Drosophila melanogaster: one gene and its partners. The protein of the gene in region 1 interacts with the protein of each later gene in a pairwise test. Each region holds a gene or a part of one and is shown in the gene's direction. Other genes may lie near its edges. The genes, in order: ATPsynCF6L, RIC-3, vir-1 and CG17032.

What was found.
Region 2: the proteins of ATPsynCF6L (region 1) and RIC-3 interact in a two-hybrid assay, tested with the Drosophila melanogaster proteins (one large-scale study listed by BioGRID).
Region 3: the proteins of ATPsynCF6L (region 1) and vir-1 interact in a two-hybrid assay, tested with the Drosophila melanogaster proteins (one large-scale study listed by BioGRID).
Region 4: the proteins of ATPsynCF6L (region 1) and CG17032 interact in a two-hybrid assay, tested with the Drosophila melanogaster proteins (one large-scale study listed by BioGRID).

The regions. Positions count from the first base shown.
Region 1 is NT_037436.4:5,010,440-5,014,604, reverse strand, and holds ATPsynCF6L (ATP synthase, coupling factor 6-like), read left to right. Parts: upstream 1-2,471; 5' UTR 2,472-2,509; coding exon 2,510-2,805; intron 2,806-2,860; coding exon 2,861-3,008; 3' UTR 3,009-3,161; downstream 3,162-4,165.
Region 2 is NT_033778.4:21,015,248-21,024,173, forward strand, and holds the start of RIC-3 (RIC3 acetylcholine receptor chaperone), read left to right. Parts: upstream 1-2,536; 5' UTR 2,537-2,705; intron 2,706-2,897; exon of another isoform or gene 2,898-3,021; intron 3,022-3,484; exon of another isoform or gene 3,485-3,511; intron 3,512-3,815; exon of another isoform or gene 3,816-3,835; intron 3,836-3,911; 5' UTR 3,912-4,139; coding exon 4,140-4,335; intron 4,336-4,492; coding exon 4,493-4,612; intron 4,613-4,839; coding exon 4,840-4,994; intron 4,995-5,745; coding exon 5,746-5,886; intron 5,887-5,943; coding exon 5,944-6,070; intron 6,071-6,253; coding exon of another isoform or gene 6,254-6,274; intron 6,275-6,638; coding exon 6,639-6,886; intron 6,887-7,086; coding exon of another isoform or gene 7,087-7,128; exon of another isoform or gene 7,129-7,215; intron 7,216-7,817; coding exon of another isoform or gene 7,818-7,918; intron 7,919-8,186; coding exon 8,187-8,339; intron 8,340-8,414; coding exon 8,415-8,507; intron 8,508-8,728; coding exon 8,729-8,878; intron 8,879-8,926. Other genes in the region: CG9346 (uncharacterized protein), read left to right, coding at 1-333; Sou (souji), read right to left, coding at 655-1,953.
Region 3 is NT_033779.5:12,419,571-12,425,522, reverse strand, and holds the start of vir-1 (virus-induced RNA 1), read left to right. Parts: upstream 1-2,083; 5' UTR 2,084-2,200; intron 2,201-3,660; exon of another isoform or gene 3,661-3,693; 5' UTR 3,694-3,818; coding exon 3,819-3,882; intron 3,883-5,952. Other genes in the region: Fam92, read right to left, coding at 40-180, 235-394, 446-585.
Region 4 is NT_037436.4:15,956,460-15,961,567, forward strand, and holds CG17032 (uncharacterized protein), read left to right. Parts: upstream 1-2,383; 5' UTR 2,384-2,806; coding exon 2,807-2,924; intron 2,925-3,228; coding exon 3,229-4,049; 3' UTR 4,050-4,150; downstream 4,151-5,108. Other genes in the region: elgi (early girl), read left to right, coding at 291-380, 464-606, 680-1,124, 1,180-1,345, 1,408-1,511; Brr2 U5 snRNP complex subunit, read right to left, coding at 4,535-5,020, 5,079-5,108.

The DNA.
Region 1 (4,165 bases):
ACACAGCTCTATGATATAGGTTACAATGAGGTAAACGATATTAAAATTTAATTTTTTCCCCCTTTCTTTATCCTCTAGTTAAAAAACGTATTTATCATTTTTATTTGCCGCCGCGTTGAAGTTGCACTTATGAGAGAGCTCGGCGAAAAGCGCACACACGGGCAAAAAGCGGCAAATGCAGTTTTGTATATCGCTCGGTGCCTGTGTAATTGTATCTGTGTGTACTTTGTGGCATGCCACATAAACTTGATGCTGCTGCTGTGTGATATTTTAGCATTGAGCAGCTCTCAATCCCCCAGCATCGCATCCCGCAACCCCCTTCGCTCTCGGTGATATTTAAATCCTTGTTCCTACGCAGGGATAGCTGTTACGCCGGCAAGGACTCGACTCAGTTGGCTTTTGTATGCGCATTAATGCAACGACTCTCATGTTTATTCACACACAAATTTGCAGCGAATACAACGCACAGAGACTGCGGTGATAGCGGGATGCATTCACAATCCCACACAGAACCCCGGGACTCGGATACACTCGCACTTGGCTGAAGCAATCTGCTGGCAAATGCGCTTTACATTTTGCACACGCTAATACAATTTAATGGTCGCATTAATTTGGCGCATCTGTTGCATTTTAAAACACGCACACACAGCCACATCATGTACGAACACCCACACAGTTACGTGGATAGACTGGCACACAGATGCACAGATACACAGATACACAGATACACAGATGCACAGATACATATACACGTTCAAGGAGCGGCAGGCAACCGCAGGATACTTTGCTCACTTTGTTGTCGGCGGGGGAGGTTAAAGCATTTGCCAACTGCAAATAAAGTTGCGCTCAGCTAAATATTAATTCTAACCAAGTTAGGGGAAACTACTTTAATGGCGGGGGCGTGGCAGCCGCACAACTGCTTAATCCTTAGCTCTGTGTAGTAGTCGGAATGAAGATTGAGATACATGCGCTCGGCACCAGACAAAAAAGACCTGATATATGCCACCAGCAGGCAATAACCGTTTCACGTCTTCTTGTTTTCGCCAATGAACGCTTAAACTATTGGTGCACCGAACAAAAATACTAATAGAAATAGGATCGCAAGTATGTTGATAAAACAAGTTTCAATATTTTAAACACAGATAAAAAACCTCTTAATATTTATAGTTCAACTCAGTTTTTTTGACAAAAACTTATATTAGTATTTGTATTAGAAACTTGATCGATTCAAAACACGTAGGACGACAGCCAACCCTCTTCATTGGAATGTCAGATGCGTGGGAAGTTTGTTATTGCTGCCAATTAGGTTGCCATTCTGTTTGTGCCAATGTTTGCATATTATTTCTGCCCAATTTGCATTGATGCAATATTGTCCATGTCCCGCGCAGCGCTCCCCCCTCCCCCCCCCACACCTCGTTCCACTACATGGCGGCGTCAAATGCAGAAAATGTCAAAATTTAAATATTGAAAGTGACGTTGGCGTACAAAAACCCCTCGTGTTGCGGGCGTTGCACTAAGCGGATAAGCGCTTGTTAAATTTTTAATGCGTTGCATAATTTTTAGTTCGGTGTGGATATTTTGCACACAATATGTACGTACTATATGTTCGTATATTTTAATTCGAGTGGCGGATGCGAAACGCAGCATGAGTGCTGGCTGCATTTGAAATGAGCCGCATGTGGCGATGGCCGATTAAGCCCGGTTTAGAAGCTACACATTCCTCATTTCGCACTCGACAATGATCCATTTATTTGCACTGTCAGCGATGGTGCGGGAGGGGAAAAAAGGTGAATGGAAATTTATATTAATTATAATTTTCACAGCCATGTCTTCCCATCAATTATCAGAGTTTGTCCGACGGCTCAGTTCTCTTTTCAGCTCTTTTCTGCTCTGTGCATTTAAATTTTTCCCCTGCAAAGTCCTTGATAAACATTTTTCAATTAATTTTTATTTGCTGCCGCCGACATTTCTTTGTCCACACACGCGCATATATTTATGTATCTTGCTGCGTGCACATAAGCAACAGCAACAGCAAGTTGACGGCAGCAACATCATCGCCTTTATGTGTTTCACGTATTTCTTTAACGGATTTCCACTTGTCTCACTTTTTGAGAAAAACTTGTCGAGATGGCACTCGCATTGTCAAGCCCACTCACACACAGACATTCGCAGATACGACGAGTCAGACAGAGAGAAAATCTTACACGCTCGGGAATAAAGGAGAACGGGCAGCAACGGTGCGTAAAAATTCGTCCTGGAGCAGGGAAGCACTTCAGATGCGTTAGCCCAAAATGCGGGGTTTGATAAACGCAAAAAATACTCAAAATAAAAGATATAAAACGTTTAAAAATATAAATTCAAATCTTAAAAAAAGATGGCTTACCTGTTCTGAAGACAATGATTTTATTTTAATTTTGAAATCAAATTACCCTTGAGTAAGATATCTCAGAATCATATTTTATCGCATAGAAACAGTATCGTGTCAGCAGAGAACAAAACTAACAAAAAAATGTTTAGCCGTTTCCTAAAACCAAGCCTAGTTTTATGTAGGAGTGTGAGCAATACCGCATCCCTTCGCTACAAGGATCCCATTTATCAGATTTTCCTGGACAAGGTGCGCGAGTATCGGCTGAAGAGTCCCAAGGGAAAGCCCGTAGATCCTGGTCCGGAATTCGAGGCGGAGCTGAAGGAAGTCACTGAGCGCCTGGCTCTGCAATACGGCGGCGGCGAGGGCGTGGATATGCTCGAGTTTCCGAAATTCAAGTTGCCCGATATTGATATTGATCCCATTTCGGTTGATGATCTGTAAGTTACAGTTAAATTGGAAAAAGTTTTTATAAAAATATAAATATTTACTTAGACCAGAGAACCAACCAAAGCCTGAGAAAAAGAATAGAGATAAAGAAGTAAAGGCCAAAGAAAAGGGTGGGGAAAAAGAAGTGAAAGCCAAAGATGGCAAGAAAGCTGACGAACCAAAGGGCAAGGATGAAAAGGACAAGATAAAGTAGATCATCACTAAAAATAATCGTTTTAAATGTTGTTAAAATTTTCGCACAATTCTTAATACTTTAAAAATTATAAAATGTTTATGTTAAAAGAAAATGAATTTAAATGCCTGCAGATTCGAGCTACCCGTTTGTAGCTGTTCCAGGATAGAGCCGAAAAAAGAACGCACCGAAATTTTTATTAAGCACATACATGCATAAGCAGCACTCACACACACCATGCTTTTACCATGTTAAGTAATTCCTTAAACAACACAACAGGTCGCCGCCATTCGCATGGCCTTGTCCCTCCCCTTGGTCCTTCGTCCTTTGGCGCTCCCGCACGCCCCATCCCACCCACTTCCATTTTTTCCGTGTAACTGACGCTGAGTGGCAGACACACAGATACTCACACAAGCAAATTGAATTTAATGCTTTCTGCTGTTGCTCTTGATAAAACGATGGCAAGCGAGAGGAGGCAGCGTGTAAAGGACGAGCGTGGGAGCGAGAAAAACAAATCAAGAGACGTCGCGAAGGAAATACAAGCCAAACGCACAAATAAATACGCACAAGTACATAAATTTAAATTATTTTCGTGGCCTGGCCTCGCTTTCATTTATGCTTTTTTATTTTATTATGCCGCTCCGCTACAGTCGGCCTCAAGGATCCAAAGATCCAAGGATCCGGCATTTGACTACGGTCCAGACGTCCTGGCACACTTTCTGAATGCCATACGAGTGTCTGGCAGTGCGGTTGTATCTATACCCGTTGTATCTGTGTCTATATCTCTGGTACCGTTGCTGTTAATCTGTATCTGTAGCTCTGTGTCCTGTAACTGTGGCAGCGCATCTTCAGCTGTCTCTTAGCGAACTATGCGCCCGCATCGAGCAAACAACTACACCAACACACCGAAGACGTCCTTGGTCCTTGTGTAAGGCATGTTAACTGGGATTTGACAGCTCGTAAATAATATTTCGCTTGTTTGTTGGCTCGGTACAACGAGAGCAACGTCTTGCACAAGGTTGAAACAAAGACAGTGGTCTGAGTTCCCAACTTTATCTTTTTGCCTAAAACAAGGTAATATTCTTGTATTAAACCTGAGGTTTTATACATTTAAATGGCTTCTAAGTAGTTCAATTAAAATAAAATTAAAATATTTAATAATCTCTAATCACAAAGGA
Region 2 (8,926 bases), on another chromosome or scaffold:
AGCTCCAAGGTGAGTGAGAGTCCAGCGCTGTTCAGAAGCAGTTCCCGCAAACGATCCCACTCGCCGTTCTCTGGTGGCGAATCCAAACGACGTGACTATTCACCCGAAACCTCGCGCTCATCCAAATCCTCGAAACGCAATCGGTCGCGTAGTCCGTCCAGTTCACCGAAGCGGTATACAGAGCGGTCGTCTCGCAGCTCCCGCTACGAAACTCCTGCCTCCGGATCGTCGCGATCACGCAGTTCTCCAACCTCCTCGCGCTCCTCTCGCAGAGAAGAGCCATCGCCGCCGAGACATCGCAGCGACAAGCACAAGCACAAACATAGGCACTAGAGTGTCTGCTCTTCGGACGATTTGTATTTAATTAAACATGGATTCTACATAAAAACACTTTCGTCGTTTGTTTTAAATACACAGTATATATAATTTTAAATCTAAATCGTTTGTTAGGAAGTGGGACACACGCAAAACAGACGGCCCAGGCAGTTCGATTCCGCTCTGCGAATTTGTCTAAAAACATGAATCTAAGCAAGCTATCTTAAAATGGTTACGTTTTGTTAAGGAAAGCCGGCCAACCAACACCAGTCCTCGAACCGCCTGAGCCTGGTCATATAAGCAGTGGTGATTATCATAAGGTGAATACATAGATGTGGCTTAAAAGTAGATGCGAACAGCCTCCTCGGCATTCTGCTCCACGGGGCAGTAGGGGCACTTCAGTATGTGGCCAACACTCAGCTTGTGCAGGGCGTCGTTGGATATGACATGACCGCAGGTCAACTTCTTCGGCGGATTGTCCTCGGAAGTCTGCTGGCGCAATATGGGGCAGGCAAAGATCGAGTGGAATCGGAATTCCGGCTGCAGATCGATCTCAATGGGCAACTCGTCGCAGCCGTTCCACATGCCAAGGACTTGGCGCGACTGCATCACCTGCTTGATATTGAGCAAGGCGGGCAGGGCAGTGCATCCGGCATTGACCACAACAGACAGGGCGGAGTTCTTGCTAATGCCTAGCAGTTGGCATGCGTCTTTGAGGAATATGAACGACAGTTCGGTCCACTTCTCCTGGCCCAAGAAGTGCTTGTAAGGCGAGTTCTCCAGTCCACTGGGCAGATATATAAAGCTGGCCATCAAGTTGGCTATTTCGTGCTCATAGCGCACAGCAAACTTCTTGAAGTTCAGTCGAGCGTAGGAGATGGCCTCGCGCTGCGAGTCCAATCCGTAGGAGACCAGCTGCATGAAACGCATGCGGTGCAGCCGGAACTCTATGAGCGAGTGGCGGTCACTCAGCTGCTGGGAGTACATCTTTGCCCACTTGAGGGCGTCAGTCAGATCCCGCTTTTGGATCTTCACCCAAATGCCGTAGATGTCGGCAAACTCGCGCTCCGAGTCGAACACATCCTGGGCATGCTCCGGCGACATCTTGCACTCGCGGATTAGCGTGCGAGCCACATCGTCCATGCCCTGGCGACAATAATGCTTGGCAATGGCCTTGTTCAGCAACATCAGGTTCTCCTCGTCCTGCAGCACGTCCACTCGCATGGTGGACGAGAAGTCGGCGCTAAAGTTGCGGTCAATGGCCTTGCCGATCTTCGAAATGGAGCCGTGCAGATCGCGGTGCTCCGTGGACAGTTTTTGCACGCGCTCGTGGCACCTGGCGAGAGCATTCCGGACGCTCTCCACTTGGCGCTCGGTTAGGCGTTGTGGTGCCGTCGGTTCCGTCTCCACCTGCATGCTCACCGCATCGCCCATGGGATCGTCCTGGGACACCTGGGTGCTCGAGTTCAGAGTGGTCACCAGCTGCTCCGCCCTGCTGAGAACCTCTACCAGCTCCGACATCTGTGTGGCTATATCTCCGATGTCCGCCTCTGCGTTCTCGTGAAGCTGCTCCAGTTTGCTGACCACTCGGGTCAGGTCCTTCTCCACCGACGAACAGGCCAACGACTCGCTGTCCATTGTTAGCTCCAGTTTCGTGGGGTGAAAGCCTAGAAACCAGTCACGCCAGGCGCGCGTTCACTTTCGATTTTACAACCTTTTGCTTTCGAGGATTGATAGCACTGTGATTCTTCAAAGTCACGACGATATTCGGTGGTCCAGCGGAAAATGCGTATTTATAAATTGTTAATTTTATAACACAAAGAAGACGAAAACATTGGAGCTGGGTGGACCACTCACGATGCTATCGATAAATCGAATAATTTTAATTTCGATAAAGGGCAACAGTGCTGAGCGAATTAATATTTGTATATTCCGCATTTTACGTATTACCGTTATATTGGATCCTTAGTTGATCCTTAGTTATATATAGTTAGTCTAGTTTAACATCATAATAATGCATAATAAAGTAACCATTTTACGAACCAAATATATATTTGACCTTTATATATTAATAATAATGTGATTCCATTTAAAACAATTACAAATATACAAAAATTTATTAAATCCCATAAGCCTTCTATCAGTGTAAAGGATCCGTTAACTTTAAACGATAGAAAAGTATCGATAGCACTCGCATGCATCGATTGACAGCCAATGCTGCCCATCTCCGTTCGGTCGACTGAAAAATCAATTATTATTGCTGCTGCTTTCTGGCAGAGAAACTTATAACGACAAACAAACAGTTTGAAATTAGCGTAATTAGATAAGAAAACGAACTTTGAAACCAAAGGTGTTAGTCTTTAAAAACGAAACTGATAATTATTTAAAAGGTACCTCAGAACACGAGAGCAATTCCAAGGACAAAATCTCCACACTTTGAATTCATAATTTTTAAAAATAAGTGATGAGTCTTAAGCCGAACGGCATTGAACCCAAATTACAAATGCTGTGCCTCCAAAAATAAAAGCGCAGAGAGCTCGAAAAACGTTTTCCAAATTAATGTAGACAGTGACAAGAAGAGGGAAATTTTTAAAATAAAAGTGGTGGAAATAAGAAGATGCTGTGCAAATAACAGACGTGCATAGTAAAAACAATTTTACTTTCGCCACTTTTCAGTCAGTGCGCTTGAAAGCGAAATGGAAAACGGTCGGAAAACTCATAGCACTTGGCAGTGTGTGTGTGCGTGTGTGATAACAAGAGCGAAGAAGCTGCGAAATGAAAAATATGAAAACACGAAATTTCGCACACAGTGCTGGTCAGCAAAACAGCAGCAATAGCTCAAAAAATTAAATTTAAAATTATATTATAAAATTTTTTTGCTGAAATATTTCAAATTAAGTTTGCCCAATTTCCCAAGCAGTTATATGTATTTTGATTTAAAATCTATTTCCGAAATGAATTAGAGAGCATTAATGTTATGTCGGCTGCTGTAGCGTAGCTCTCGGAAATTCCCGGTGCAGGCCCAAGCTGCAAATCACTTGTCTCATCAAAAATAAAGGAAAATAATGGCCGACGACGATTATGGGGAAAAGCGCGCCCGAATGGTGTGTCGGGTCTTCAGATCTGATCTGCCGAAAATTCGCTAATAGTTTCAAAAATTTGCCTGGCCAGTTCGGGAACAACATTCGAACTTTGCGTAAGCAGTCGCTCTGTCCAGTTTTCTGTTTTCATTTTTTTTCGAACCCTTGGTCGTTCAAAAACCGTTTTCCAAAAGCGATACGAAAGCATTTTCTTTTGGAGAAACGTTCAATATTATTTATGCGGTCGTTAATTGTGATTTGTGCGGTGGGAAAAGTGAAAATAATAAAGAATTATTAGACGGGCCGAAAAGAGCGAATTGCGCGAGCTAAAAATAAAAAAGATCGGGACCGCTATTTATGTAATAAACTTTTTTGTTTTCCCGCAACAATATTCAAACGTATACAGCATTTTGCGCTGCGATTCGTGACCGATCAGTGATGTGAATACAACTCCAACGAAAGCCGGAATCAGCGAACTGTAGCGTGTAACCGATTATGCATCTATGTATCTTTCAGATAATGCTTTAAACGTACAGCAAATCAACCATTAGCCAGCCAAAATGAGCCAATGCCAAAGTTAAACAGCAACTAGAAACACAGCGCATAGTCAACAGCTCGCAGGGAGCCATCAACGAACCAAATCGATCAGGAACACATAGCAGAGTTGCCTTAGGGACTAGCTTTAACCACGAACCCATAGCCAAACGAATCCAGATAGCCCACGGAATCCGCTACCAAGCCAAAATGCCCGCTACAGCCACATCCAAGCCGAGAGCTCCGCTCGTCGAGGAGGGCATGACGCCCAAGAAGACCGCCCTGATCATCGTAACCGTGATCGGATGCATTGCCATCCTGTGGCCAAAGGTCTTCCATCCCATGATGTTCGGAGGAGTGCCTCCAAGCCAGCCAAACTTCAAGGATCCACGAGCAGCACCAGGCGGTAAGTCATCAGATTCTATTCACCACATTAGGAGCTAGGGCTTATAAATGTTGTACTTTACTTAATTTCATTTATCATTTATTATTTATGAATTATCATCATGATTTTCTTTTGATTTCCGTATGTGGGTGTTGTTGTTGTCCGGTCGATGTTGTAGGATGTTGTGATGTCGTCCTGGACAGGGAGCAGTTTCTGAATGCCACGAAGAAGGACACTGTCGAGCCCTTCGGTCCGCATTTGTATCGCAAGCAAATCAATGTTTACACGGGCGAAATAAGTATGTGGCTCGATTATTTATAATTTGCTTATTGGTTTTACTAACGGTGTTTGGCTCTACTAACAAGATTGTATCTACATGAAACAATCGATTGAGATACATTTAGATTCCTAACCTTTACGGTATTAATGAGTTTATTAATGTTTGGGTTTCTAAAATGTAGTGTTTATGTCAATTAAAAATTTGATAGTTTAATTGTGTTACTAATGAATCCATTGTGGTCGCAGGTCTGCGCCAGGAGCGTCCCGCCCACCTGCATCCGGAATCCATATACCAGGCCATGAGGGAGCGGGGTCGCGCCATTCCCGCCACGCCCACCGTGCCGATTCTAGAACGAAAGACTTCGCCCAGTAATCCGCCTCCGCGGATTGTCGACGGACGGGTGAGTTGGGCTACTATACATTTAACCATACGGTGTGCATTATTCTCCGGACGATAAATCCATAATTATAATATATATAGTTATACTGGTCGGCGGGCTGTGGTCGATGTGATTATAATGACGGCGGGATGAGACATATCCGCGCTCGCGTTGGAAGTCATTTATAAATAGCCAAACGTTTATTTTATTCGGATTCGGGTTTTGTTTTTATGACACTGCACGCAAATTGAAGGCAAGAGACAGCGCTAAAGAAAACACAAAAAAAGAATTTGTAAATGATGAGTGGGAGATCGGCCGAATGTGCTGCTGCGTATTGAACTTGTGCCAAATTCAGTGCGCCAGTTCCATTTTGCTCTCATCGCTACTAGAATGCTAGAATGGCCGGGGAGCACAAATCAGCTGTCCTCGCCTCATGTCAAAATACAACGGGGCGGATACGTAATTTTAATGATTACATGGGTTGTCAATAAAACACAATCGATTCCCTTCTCCTACAAAGACATCAATTCAAAAGATTTCGAAGACAACTGTCTTGAGTAATCTTTATGTCAATATACATCGCGGCGGATACGTAATTTTTATGATTACATAGGACAATAGAATATACATATTCGATCAGTTCAAAAATATCTAAAGACAATTGACTTAAGAAACCACCGGGGCGTATACCTGATACATTTAATATGACCTTGATTGTTGGCGGCATTCTATTGTATTTCAGTAACTTTTGACATATGTATGTACTTTCTAGCCTGGACCCATTCCTGGAATGCGTCCACCCATGGGCGCCGGTGCACTGCATCAGCCACAACAGCGGGGCAGCAGCATGGGCTTCCTAATGCCACTCTACACCATTGGCATCGTAGTCTTCTTCGGCTACACCCTAATGAAGGTGACTCTCTTTGATCGTATATATGTAATTATAATACTATAAAACTCTTACATGCAGATTATGTTCAAGAAGCAAGTTCCCAATGATCCGTACGGAGCGGCGCCTCCAAATCCTGCCTTCCGGCAGGAGGTCTTCGGATCACAGAACCACAGCCAGGTGGAGGATTTGGGCGGCAGCAAACTGGGTGAGTGCCAGGCCAATTCGGATGCCATCTTCCGGATTATTACACTCGTAGTTGGACACACACACACACAATCGCTCTAGCCACCGCACTCACGATTCAATCCTAACCGAAAAAAAATCGCATTTTGTACTCTTCTGCTTCCAAAAAAACCCATGCACACCGAAAATCATGCCACGGTATCAGGCTGGCGAGAGCATCAGACAAGTAAGCCAGATATATATAGATGGTTGCATAGATGACCATAGAGTTTCGTTCGTATCTTGAGTTTCTAGACCTCGACAAAGGCCTTTTGAGTTTTGAAATATGTCCTCCTCATTTGGTATCGTAGTATCGTAGCGACTATGTGTTCTATTTCATTTACCTAGATGTACTCATTCTAGATGTTGTGTGCCTATATACTATTTATAAATATATATATATACTAACCCCGAATTGATCACGCTTCCATGGATATATACATTTATTTTGTTGCCACTCCTGCACCCGTGTAAATACTCCTTAGTTTCGTTAGTCCCTCGATTGATTCGATTTCCGGCCCTGATTACCAAACCGTACGACAATTTTATAGGAGCTGCCACCGCCACTGCCGCCGCAAAGAAGCCGGCCGCCAAGGACACCGAAAAGGAGCTGTACAACGCCAGTGTGTCGGCCACCGAGGTGGCGAGCAGTTTGTCCGCCTCTCTGAAGAGCCACCAGCAGCTGAAGGAGGCCGAGCAGCTGATGGAGATCGAGAAGCTGCGCCAGAAACTCGAGAGCACGGAGCGGGCGATGGCCCAGTTGGTGGCCGAAATGAACACCGATCAGTATGAGGCAAAGGTTAGCATCCAGCATCCAGTATCCAGTAGCTTCCTACCATCGTCATCGAATCGGAAAAAAGCAGATACAGATACAGATATAGCTATACAACGCGACTCAGATACATCTAGTAGCACATCATATATCGTAGTGATTTCAGTTGGACCATCTCGCTGTCATTTGAATTAATATTTGATCTCTTTTGTGTTCTCATTTTCAAGATGATTGCCCTCAAGTTTCTCAAGCGGCAGCCAAACTTCTAAGACAATAATAACCATCATTCAGTTCACATAGAATCAGTCAGTAAAACAGACCAAAATCAGACCAACAACAACTCAGATCACAACTAAGTACAACGAACAAAGTCAACTAGATTATTTCTGTTTTCAATTGGTTTCTAGTGAATAGCTGAATCCTCGGAATGGTTTCTTTTACCCCCCTGCCACATCCTCCCCCCCAAAAAAAGCCTTCAGTTCTAAAACTATGTCACTCTGTCCTTAATCTTCAAGTCTAACAAGTGCATGGAACGGAATTCTCCCGACTCTGTTTCTAATTTAACCTGCTTGTCTGCTGTCGGCATGCGATATATGCATATATATATATATATATAAACATATCTTTTCACATACTCGTATCTACTAACGAACCCAGTCTAAATGTGTTTGCATCTCACTGAGTACTCTCGATCTGAACTAAACTAAACTCTTATGATGGGGACATATTTTACGATTCAAAGCAGTCTTATTCGAAATCTATTCGAACACTATACGTAACTTTACATTGCCAATAAAGATAATCGCAAACATCATTTCATACTCAGAGCTACAAAGAAACAACTATATAAATATTCACTCTCTGTGTCGTTTCTACGTTTTTCATGTTTCTCGCAAAAACACAAAAAAAAAAATGAATGTAAATCCCAAATTGATACCCTGTACTTTCATGGGGCTAGTTGTTACGGCCATACAAGGTTTGATAGACGCGGCCGACGAGCAATTGAATGGCCAAGACAAGCAGAGGGCGACGAGCGACACTGAAACTGATTCGAATAAGGTTAGAGACCTTCAAAGGGTCCGGCACGGCAATCCTTGAACATATAATTTGTAACAAGAACTTAATCTTTTTGTTTATTAACCAAGATCCTTCGACTAATTGAGTTTTGTTGCGTTTCACCTAACCACAACGAATTGAAGTAATTAATGCGTTCGATTTCTGATTTCTTGCGTTTTGAGGCTGTATAGAATTGCTTAGCTCTCACATTCTACTGACTGTTTCGAGAGTGTCCTCTCTAACCGTATTATATCCTGTGTATCCTGTGCAGAAAAACGACAACGAAAAAACGAGGGAGCAACCACTAGACAAGCAGAACCTATCCAATGGACATGCAAGCAGCACCGACCAAAATCCGGAGCAGGAGACCGTGGCGAAGGGAGCCAGGAAACGGCGGGATCTAAGCGCTGAACAGGAACTGACGGTATGCCATTATATACCCTGTATAGCACCTTTGAGTACGTAGATCTTTGCCGTAAATAATCGAATATTGGTGCAGGTACTCGGCATGGAGTTAACAGCCAGTTGCGAGGGCGGCCACAAGTGGACTGGACGCCCTCCAACGCCTGTTTTCCGAGCGCCAAGCGAACATGTAAGTGCCACTGACGCACAGACCCCCCACCACTTTCAAGTTCTCAACTTAACTAGACTAGTTTCGACTAACTGCTACCCTAACGCTTTCAATATATCCCTACAAAAAAAAGTGATTAAACTGGGATGTTTCCTACGCTCTCAACCTCCTCTGCGCATATGTGTTGAAGCTTTTAAATATGTATATCAGAAATACTAAATAGAATCCCTCTTCGATTTCAGTCCAAATTGGAAGACAACTTGCCGGAGCCGCAGTCCATTTACTTGGAAGGCGCTTTGGCCCATGAGTCCCAGATTTTGGTTGCCGACTCCCAGATCAAACGCGAAGAAGTCTACGACTCGGAGCTCAATGGCTCAGCCGAGGAACCAGCCGTATGGATAAGCCATTCTACTAAACTATATCAATTAATTAACTTAATT
Region 3 (5,952 bases), on another chromosome or scaffold:
GAATTATATAAGAAGTAAATTGTTCGTTTTAATACCCACATTGTTCGCAGAAAACTTTGACTTGAGCTCAAGCATCTGGCGCTGACGTAGTACCTCCTTATCCCGCGCTATGACAGCCAGTCGAAGATTGTCCCTTGTGGACTTGCAAAGCTGCTCGAATTGCGCCAACTCGTTGACAATCTACATAAGTCAATAATATGATATAAGATGCAGATTTAAAAAAGGATAATTCACCTTGTGTTCCAATCGGTGTACATTGATGTCCATGTAATCACCCATTATGGTAACCGCGTTGGTGAAGCTCTTCAGTCCCTGACAGAGACTCTCGTTGATTTCCTCGTCGTCGGCGTAGCTCTTCACACTCTTGGCCAACTCATCAAAGGAGTCCCGATATCTGCAAGGTCTTATGATTATTCATTCAGATTTATTTATTTACCAAACTCACTTGGCCATTTTCCGCGTTACCAAAGCAAACGAAGAGCACATCTCCATTAGATGCCTTTCTGTTATGTTTATGCGCTCGTTTATTATTTTAACACGGTCATCTTTGGTGTTTAGAAAGGATAGTTTTCCACGACGAAACATTATTATTTTATTTTAGTCCCTTATATTTGTTTTCCTTCTTTATTTATTTTATTTCGACAATAAAATCAAGTGAAAACCGTTACCAAGGCAACGTCTAAATTCATCTGGCAACTCTCGTTCGAACAGCCAGCATATTTCCAGCTCTGTAAAATTAACAGAAATGTTAAGAACCTACTGCTGCCAGGTGGCGCTAGTATCAGCGTCTTCTGCAAGTACATAGATGGCGCAAGAATAAAGTTTATCAAGGAAATTTAAAACATTCTAAAAATATTCAATCCTAAAATAAATATCTGAATATGGGTACTTCATTTTTTTCCAACAGTGTCAAGGTCAAGAGCACGTTTCGTTATAATCTGTGAGTGTTTCTGTCTGTCATCCGGTGTCTAAATTTAAATTCGAAAGATTTATGACTAATTAAGAGACTGCAAATGATAAAGAAAAATATATATAATTAGTATATATAAAAAAATAGAAAATATACTACGATATTTACCTGAAGATCATAGCATTGTAAATAGTTTATTTAAAAACAAGTCAATCTGATATTTTAAAATATCGTTGGTCCTAAAAGCCAAGCTTTACTCACTTAAATATATGTAGGACTAAGCTGACTCAAATTCTTCTCACTTCGAAGCCTTGACAACCAAATCTTGTTTTTTGGGGAATTTATTGACTCGACCGCAAGAATGTTGTGTCAACGATTAACCGAAAATGGTAATTTATTTTAAATGCTCCTCTGCCACTTAAAGGCATAGTGCAATCAAACCTGTATTTAGTAAAACGAAAATAGCAGTTCGAATAAAACCAACGAAAGTGTAGTTAAAACAGAATCCGGTTCGTGGGACCACGACAAGAATTACAAGTTGTAGAGCATGAAGAGCAGCCTGCAGGAGATTTTAACAGCTGTAGCTGCGCCGATCGCGATTTCAATCTGGTCGAAAACCATAAAGCAACACGGCTCCCAAGAGGCAAGTTCAGGTAAAAGGGGGCAGGTGGACTTCATTGTCAATCCAAGAACGTAGCTTGGCGCGCGTTCCTTGTCGCTAACTATATCCCCGCCTCTTTCTCGGCGCTGTCGGCCATCCGCTTTGAATTTCTGATTTTTATACATACACCTCGAACTCCAACGGTTTTGGTCAAGGGACTGCACTGGAGGACATTCGCGTTCCGCTGGCGACATTCATTTTTGCTCCCACTGACGTGTCAATGAATATTCTTTTTGTAAAATTTCTGCTACTTTTTGGGTAAACAGGATGGGGCATCTTTGGTAGTGGATCTGTTGTAAAAATATAAAATTGAAAGTTCTTTAGTTATTTTTCTTTTTTTTTTTTAATTAAAACATTGTTGAATGCACATTTGGAGCACTCGGAAGACCCTTCTTCGCTCTCGTATTCTTCTCTGCGCATTCCTCCCTTTCCCGGTCTCTCTTCTCAATTCTTTGTTTTTTTTTGAGTGCCAACGACGTGAGCTGGTATAAATGAAGCCAAAATCGTACGCAACCGTTTAGTCCGAAACGTTTCATTAAAGCCAACGCACGTTGAAGATCGCGCGTTCTTCTCCGATCTTTCGAAATCGAGTGATTCAAGCGATCCACAGAAATAACTGTATGACACCGGTAACAATAATAAAATTTATGCAAATTCGCGGTTGTCGGCATGTGTATGTGAATGAAATTGTGTGCGTGAACAATTTCCGCTTCGGCGCTGACAAAAATGTTTACAAACAAACAATTTGCAGCTTGTTTAGGCTGTCTGGGCAATAATTTGGATGCCTAATTTACTTCACGCAGCTGTTTGCGAAATATTTACTTGTGCTCACTTTTATGCTGAGCCCAACATAAACAATAGCTTTCTAAAACTATCAGACATTAAAAATGCTATTTAAAGTTTATAGTTGCTAATTTTGAAGACCTTGAAAAATTTACTGTCGGGCAAGATATTTAAATAATTTTCTGATGTGCAAAAATTCCAGTTCATTTTGAGATTATAATACATTCTAGATTTAAATCAGTGTATAATTATACAAATTCTTTACGGCTTTTTATATTTATCAGAACTGTAATTGGGTGTTATATCGTAAGTTCTCTCGGGTCAAAAAGATCATTCATAATCGGATTAACTAAAGATTTCCAATAAATTGCCGATCTTTGGCATATTCGTTAGTAAAATCGTGATTAAACCCGGCTCAATCAAGGCGTGACTACTTTATCGATGGAATTAAAAAGAAGCACTCTATCATAACCATTTAATTACTGAGAATAGTCTTTAGCTCCGTTTTCATTTCCTTGGAAGAAAATTCTCAATAGCTGCCCATTAGGGAAATAAGCAAATGATGCTTTTGTTTACAGAAACAACAACCTTGAACTAAACACCAAGCGCATTTAACAGGTGATTCGAGCAGCCGTTGAATAGACATAGTTCCATACAATGCAATCGAAGTGGAATTGAAATACGAATGGGGCGACTGAAACATTCAGCAACTGTGACAGGGACACATTTAAAGTCTGAAATACAAATATAGTGGAATAGAGAAGCCCGCGTGCAGCTAACGAAGCATAGACAAAAACTGATTAAGTAAATTGAAAACACAACTAAATTTACAAAAGGTTCAATGAGCAACGGCGACTTTCAAACACCCTTTTAATCGAAATTTTAAAATATTAGTAGCAAATGCCCTTTTAGAACTGCTTTTATATATATATAATTATAAAGATAAAGTTATATTATATTATATTTTTTATAGTAGTAGATACAATAGTTAATGAACCAGTAAGCTATAACGGAAACAAAAAGGTGTAACGAAAATAAAAGTTAACTTAAATGTGCCTAAGAACATTACTAATACGCTGCATTCTGTACACAGTGGAGTCCCCAAATATTGTACCCAGTTGACGGGCACAGTGTAGCGCTCTTCCCACAACACTTGCCGCCTGCCATTTGGAATATTTATAAGCCCAGCGGCTAATTGAGTGAGAGGGAGAGCAAGAGAGCGGTCAGCTAGTCACTCACTCGGTTTCTCACTCGCTCACTCACTCAGCCGGCCGCCGTTTATTTGCCGCTTCCTCAAATCATTTAAGCGCATTTGACGATTGTTTGTCTTTCCGCACAGAACAAAACTGAACAGAATCGAATCCGGTTGCCGGTCCACATCAACGCATCAAAGCTTTCAGCCCTAAATAAACTATACAAATTAAACAAATTATAAGCTTGTGAAAAAAAAAAAACCAAACAAAAATGAAGCTCTTGTTCGGTTTGCTGATGACCGTGCTAGCCCTTAGCGGCGTTTTCACATTGCCAGGTAAGTGAAAGGCTTAAAAGCAATCCAATCATGATGCACTTCATAAATTAACATTTAAATGATTAATACTTGAAAACTAAATGTTAACTTGCCCTAAGTAATACGTATAACGGAACTAACTAATATGCAATTTGTACACATATGCAACATACATATTTGTTTTCCTTCTCTTTACTTTCTCATTTTTATGTGCACATAATTAGTTATTAAAAAACACAGTCAACCTTTTGACTTTAAAAACAAAGAAAATTGATAAGCACCGGGAATTCTGATTTGCACTCTTCTACGTAGTACGTTCCTCTTATACCTTCTTGATCTGGAATATTCTGGTAGAATCTTAAAGATTACCTCGATGTAATTGTGACTTGGAGCAATATAAATAAATTATTATGCATATAATACGTAATTATTAGTAAATACAATCTGTTGGATATGAAAAAATGTTTTAATTCCACTCTGCAGCAGATTAAAGTTTAAAGTCGCTGCCTTTGCCGGATAATGATGTCAGCATGCTGATAACAAAGCGTGGCACTTGACAATCAGCCAAATGCATCTTACAGATACAACACAAGTAACTACAAATGGCAAAATATCAGGAATGCTCGGCGCAGCATCGCAGATCCAGCGTCCTTTATTGTCATCATCAGCGTTTGCTGTTCGCTGCCTTTGGCTGCCACTTGAATGCATAAATTGCTGAAGAAGCTGCCAGCGAATCGCAGATACCCCCACAGATGGGCGGAATGGTGGGAGTGGGCGTGGCAGCGGGTTGGCAGCTGCCACAGCCACTTGAAGTTGTCAAATTCGTTGCTGTCCAAATCATTTGCCAGGAATATACAAATTTTATGCAACACTCGTGAATCACAATTTTTCGGCAAATCTTGCTTGAGAATCATCTTAGCAATGAGTGCTTGAAATTGCAATGAAATATTTCGTAAATTGATGAGACAATGTTTTTTATTACATATTTCAAAATACACATAGTAGCTACTCTAACTACTGTGCATATAAGTCAGATTAGTACTGTTTAAACATTTGTTTTCTCTATTTAATTATTAATGATTTGCGATCTGAACATGCTGAGAATAGAATCATATCCAATTAAAATAATTTACGTAACCAATTAAATCACGATAATTGTGGATATACTGGATTTATCTGCAGGCTAATCTATTCTGGATTATATATTTCAAATTTAAATTAATATTGTTACATTCTTCAACAAACTCGGAATCGGTTGAATGAACTGTCATATTATACACTCAAGTCATCCCAATTTCTCTGGCTGATTGCAAGTGAAATTCTTGAGCACTTTTCTTCGCTTGTTTTGTTTTCTTATTTTTCTTAATTTGGTTTTTTATGAGATCGCTTCATGTCAGTGTCCCATGGCCAAAAGAATTGGGTTAATTGTGGCCATAATTCGCTTTTAAGAACTTTTTCCAGGGAATGTCTTTCTCTGCCCCAGAACAAATTGCAATTGCATGTTCACATAAATCACTTTTTTTTTTCCTTTTTCGAATTTCTGCTGCTCGTACGTGGAACTATGTGTGGAGTAATAAAACTCAAAACAATTATGAAAATTATTGGTGAATTATTACATGTATTTTTCATTGTTGGCATTTGCCGCTGAATAGACGGGCAATTTGTTTAATTTAGACGGATATTTTGTTATGCAAATTGAAGTTAATTTTCGAGCCCATACAAATGTTTTGGTTAAATTGTATGATATATAGTGAGATAATTAACATTTTGTGTCTGGCCTAAATCAGTTGCAATTGTTATGAAGTGGAAATACTCACAGTTTTTTTATGGGGCAATAAGCTGGTTATGAAAAATTGGTGGTCATTTAATTGAAGATTAATTCAAGTCTTATTTCTGAATATGTAAGAACACTATCTAATTGACAATTCAATTAAAACTAAACTAAACGTTGATAACACAGATACATTTAAAGTTTTATCTGTTCTTCCTAGAAATCTAAGCCGACTGCTTAATTTGCGAATTTAACAGCCAAGTCAGAAAATGCATATTAAATTAAAGCATTGAAAACAAAGCCAATTGAATGAACAAATC
Region 4 (5,108 bases), about 11 Mb from region 1:
TCAAACAAGAATTCTATTATATCAAAAATTTTGACTTTAAGTCAAACTTAAGTTTAAAACTAAGGTGGAACAGAAAATATCTCAATATTTTCAAGCTAAACAGTTATTTTAAGAAGCCATTTCTCGCGGATTACAGCTGAAGTGCCATCCTAGCTTTCCAACACTACTCAGTCACACTACACAACACTGCACTGACTGAACCGAAAAAAAAACACACAGATTTTGCAATCCGCAGAAAAGAATTATTAATAGTATTTTTATGCGGATGGCCAGCGTGCTGAGGACCTAAGATGGGCTACGATGTGAATCGCTTTCAGGGGGAGGTGGACGAGGAGCTCACCTGTCCCATCTGCTCCGGAGTGCTTGAGGATCCGCTGCAGGTTTGTTTTGTTTGCAAAGAACGCACACCGCGAATCATACATATGCTTTAAATACAAACAATCATACATATCTACCGATTCAGGCCGTGATGTGCGAGCACGCCTTCTGCCGCGGATGCATTAACGAGTGGCTAACCCGCCAGCCCACTTGTCCGGTGGATCGAAATTCCCTGACTACTGCCAACTTGCGGGCAGTGCCTCGCATATTGCGCAACCTACTGTCCAGGTGAGAAAAACCCAACGCCTTCTACTCTGTGAACCTTGTGGACTCTAACTAATCTTTGACCCTTGCCAACCAGACTGTCAATCACCTGTGACAATGCGCCTTATGGCTGCACGGCTGTTCTCAAGCTAGACGCCTACAATTCCCATTTGGACGAATGCATTCACAATCCGAAGCGACCATTTCCCTGCGAGAAGGGATGCGGCTTTGACATACCCAAGGATGAGCTAAAGGACCACAACTGCGTGCGGGAGCTGCGCACTTTAATTGTCAAGCAGACGGAAAAAATGGGTGAGCTCAAATCGGAGCTCACCGACCAGCAGCTGACTATCAACGAACTGAAGCGCGAGCTGCAGCTATTCAAGGACTTTATGCGTGCCATGCGCGTCTCCAATCCTGCGATGCGGGCCATAGCCGACCAGATGGAGCGCGACGAGGTGATCCGCTGGAGCAGCACACTGCCCCGGGCCAGGGTTACGCGCTGGGGGGGAATGATCTCTACGCCCGACGATGCACTGCAGGTGAAGCCCAAATTCTAAATTTTTTTAAAACGTTAACTCACTTTTCATTTGATAGCTCATGATCAAGCGCGCTTTGTCCGAGTCGGGCTGTCCGCCACACATCCTGGATAGTCTTATGGAGTTCTGCCACGAGCGACGTTGGCCCCGTGGGCTCAGTTCGCTAGAGACACGTCAAACCAATCGTAGGATCTACGACAACTATGTGTGTCGACGCATTCCAGGTAACAATTTTAAACATAAATATTAACAACAAGGCTTTATCTTTAAACTTACTCTTCCGCAGGCAAGCAAGCTGTGCTCGTTTTGAGCTGCGACAACCTCCACATGACTGAGGACGTCATGATCGATCCAGGTTTGGTCATGATCTTCGCCCATGGCATCGAGTAGGCCCTCAGCCGCTGATTAACCACTTATCCTAGGTTAAATGCTAACTATATCGAACAGTGCTCAGTTTTGTTGATTCCTTAACGTAAGAGTAAGCATTAAAAACAATATTGTAAGGAAAAACTCGCAAAACAAACCATTCAAGCGCCTCATGACGACTTTCAAGTTGTACAAAAAATATATATTACTTTCGGTTCATTGTGTTTTATCCATTTAGTTAGTACGCAAATTCGTATACATCATCAAGTCGTTCGCATATACCCAATATTACATGTTTGATTAAGCGATCTCAACAAATGTCCCTTTGTTATCGTTCACTTCATTCTCATTTTGATGGAAGGAAGCTGTGAATGTCCTAATTCGCGTTTAAATTCGTATTGCACAACTTACTTAAATTTCTGAAATATTTGTCAATACTTTTAGATTAAATGTGGAAAGAGTAATAAACAGTTTATTTAACTAATGTATTCATGGAAGAATTTATTACTATAATAAACCATTTGCTTTTATAATTGATTTCTTTCAATTACGAATTTAAATTGTAATAGTATGTTACAACAAAATTCCATTTATTCATTTATTTAAGCACTCCCATGAATTATTTTTCTGAAAGATTGTCTAGCCTTTTAGATTAGAAATAGAAATAAAAGTGATTATTCCAACTAAACCGATAATTCTAGCCTCTTATCAGCTGAAAGGGCAGACAAGCGTCTGCCTTTGGAAATCCTACACAAATGTTCACTGGGATGCCCCCCACTTGCAAGCACCAACTCATTCGGGGAGATCTGTCCGCCTCCACTCTGTGGACCCGTAAAAGTTCTGGACAACATCTGTTTCCCGAAATGGAAATCGAAAAGCAACAAAAACCAAGCAGCAAGCAACCAAGCAACAAAATAAACAAAAGAAAACCAAACTAGTTCCTCCACGAGCTTTGGCCGCCAACCGGTTTCGGCTTTTGTACACCCGTTTTGTTTTTTTCCTACATAATACAACATTATACAAAGTTTGCATCGGTTACATGTGCCAAAAATCGTTGGATTATACAAGCCAGTTTTGGTTTTCAATTTTTTTCTTCGTATTTGCCGAACATCTTGAATATTGATAGAAGCAATTAGCGCCATCCAGACCAAAGGGGCAGCCCCCTACGGCGATTGAAAGTGAGAGTTGATCGGCCGATTGGCGGCGGAGCGGACAGGCTGAAATATATACATCCAACAGTTGATCGCGAAGCGGCGCAGCCAACGGACGTGTCCAGCTGCGATCTCCAGAAGGCAACCAATCTAATCGAAGAACACGAAATGAATGTATCAATTCCGGTGCTATTTGTGGCCCTCATCTGTCTGGCAGCTGCGTCGGCGTTTCCTCAACTGAGGCAGCGCAACGAGAAGCAGGTTCAAACCGGCGATGATGATTTGCGTAAGTAAAATTCTTAACGCTCGAAAATCTTACAATTCTTAGATTGTAAAACTTCCTAAATACATTTGGAAAATACTTTTCAAATCTGAAATTCTGTAAATATATATAAATACATATCTATCTATAAATTTTTGTGTATACATATGTACACATTCTGTAGTGCGAACAAAGCGTAAAATATTTAGTAAAATAATAGATTGCTCCGAATTTTTTAATAATAAGCTTGCCGATTATTCAGCTTCTATTAATTAAATTAAAATAAATATAAAATATTTTATAAAGTATATACCATTGCATTTTACAGCTTCCAAGGGCGCCACTATCGAGGAAGTAGTGGTGGAATCAGCCTTGTACATCAAACCGAAGTCTAATCCGCAGGTGCGTCGCGTCCGTTCGGTCCTGGATCAAATATCCGGAATCCAGGCCGCTCACAAGAGGGTGAAGCGTCAGTTTGGGCGACAATTTGGTGGTCAGTATGCTGGAAATCCCGGCTTCGGTGGCGGATTCGGTGGAGAGCCTGGTTTTGGAGGTGGATTCGGCGGTAATCAAGGATTTGGAGGCAACCAGGGATTCGGAGGTAATCAGGGTTTCGGCGGTAATCAGGAATTCGGCGGTAACCCAGGATTCGGAGGAAATCCCGGATTCGGCGGTAATCAAGGTGGAAAAGTTCAGGCAGGTACATCGGCCGGCGCTGGGGGAACCAAAGCGGGTGTTGATGTTGGTGCCGGACCAGATGGCGGCAATGCCAATGCCAACGTCGAGTTAAATCCGCTGGGACCACTCGGACCCAGTGGTTACAACCAGGAGCAGGCCGCATCCAACGGAGCTGCCCACAGCAACTACAACAATGGACTCAACTCAGGATCCTCGGCCGCCAGTGGGCAGGCTCAGGGCTTCCAGTCGCAGAGTGCCAATGGATCATTCGGTGCCTCCTCCGCAAGCACGGCCACTCAGTCCCAGAACACCAGCCCCTTTGGATCCAATAATGCGGCAGGTGCTTCGCTGAGTCAGGTTTACCATCTTCCCAATGGACAGACAATAAACTTTAGCTCCACGAACAGCTTCGCTAATGGAGGAGCCAATCGTGGCAGTAGCCATGGATCGGCAGTTTCTGTCAGCCGCTAAAAGCCAAGTTCACCATACAGGGAAAATACCTCCAAGTTAATCTATTTGTCAGCAATCCTATGTGCAAATATCTAAAAAATCCAAATAAATATTTATGATTGAATTGAATTTGAATGAATAATTTGAATGATTTTTTTAAAATCTAAACGGTTGCATTTTGATGATCCAGATTACAAATTACAACAAACTTGAATTGTTCCATACGAAATTTAAAAGCTTAAGACAATATAAGAATTGGCACTGTTGACTACAAAATATTTAGATTCTTGGTATCAACCAGCGAAAGAAAGTTGAAAGGTTTTTTTTATTTTGTTTTTTTTTTTTTTTGTACTACTTTATATAATTATCCTCAGTGTATCCTTGTACAATTTGGTTTCTACTAAAGTAGTACACGAATTTATTATTGCTACAATTAATGCGCGTAAATTGTAAAATGATTGATTTTCATTTGTGCAAACATGCCCAACTGATGATCCTAAAGAAAACTAATCTGACTCGCTTTCGCTTTCCGACTGGAAGTCACCCACTTCGATGGAAAACTTGTACTCCTGATCACAACCCAAATAGGAATCGCTCATGTAGTACAGAGTGTAGTCGTGTTTGCCCGGACTAGGTGCCACAAAGTCCAGCTTGACCTTTGCCTTTTGCTGCAGCGTGAGCCGTTTGATGGAGAGCAGGGAGTTGGTCTTGGGATCACCTATGACGACCCACCATCCTTCTTCGCGCTTCTGCGGGAAGAATGGAGCAATGACTGGGCCAGTGACCTCATCCTCACGTTCCAGTTGAACCACTACATTAACGGTTGATCCTGAGTTGATGCGATCCTTGTCCACCACCTCATAGTTCAGCTCAATGTTGGGGTAACGGTTGCAGAATCGAGCAACATCGGCCATTTGTAAATCGGAGAGCTGCAGCAGGCGAGTGCGATCCTCGTCCTCCAATTCCATGATATCGAAAACGGTTTCGATTTTCTGAAATATACGACGAAACATGAGATAATCCTAGAGATTCACTTGTTGTTACTCTCACCTTCTCTGTGCACCGCTTGACAATCTCGGG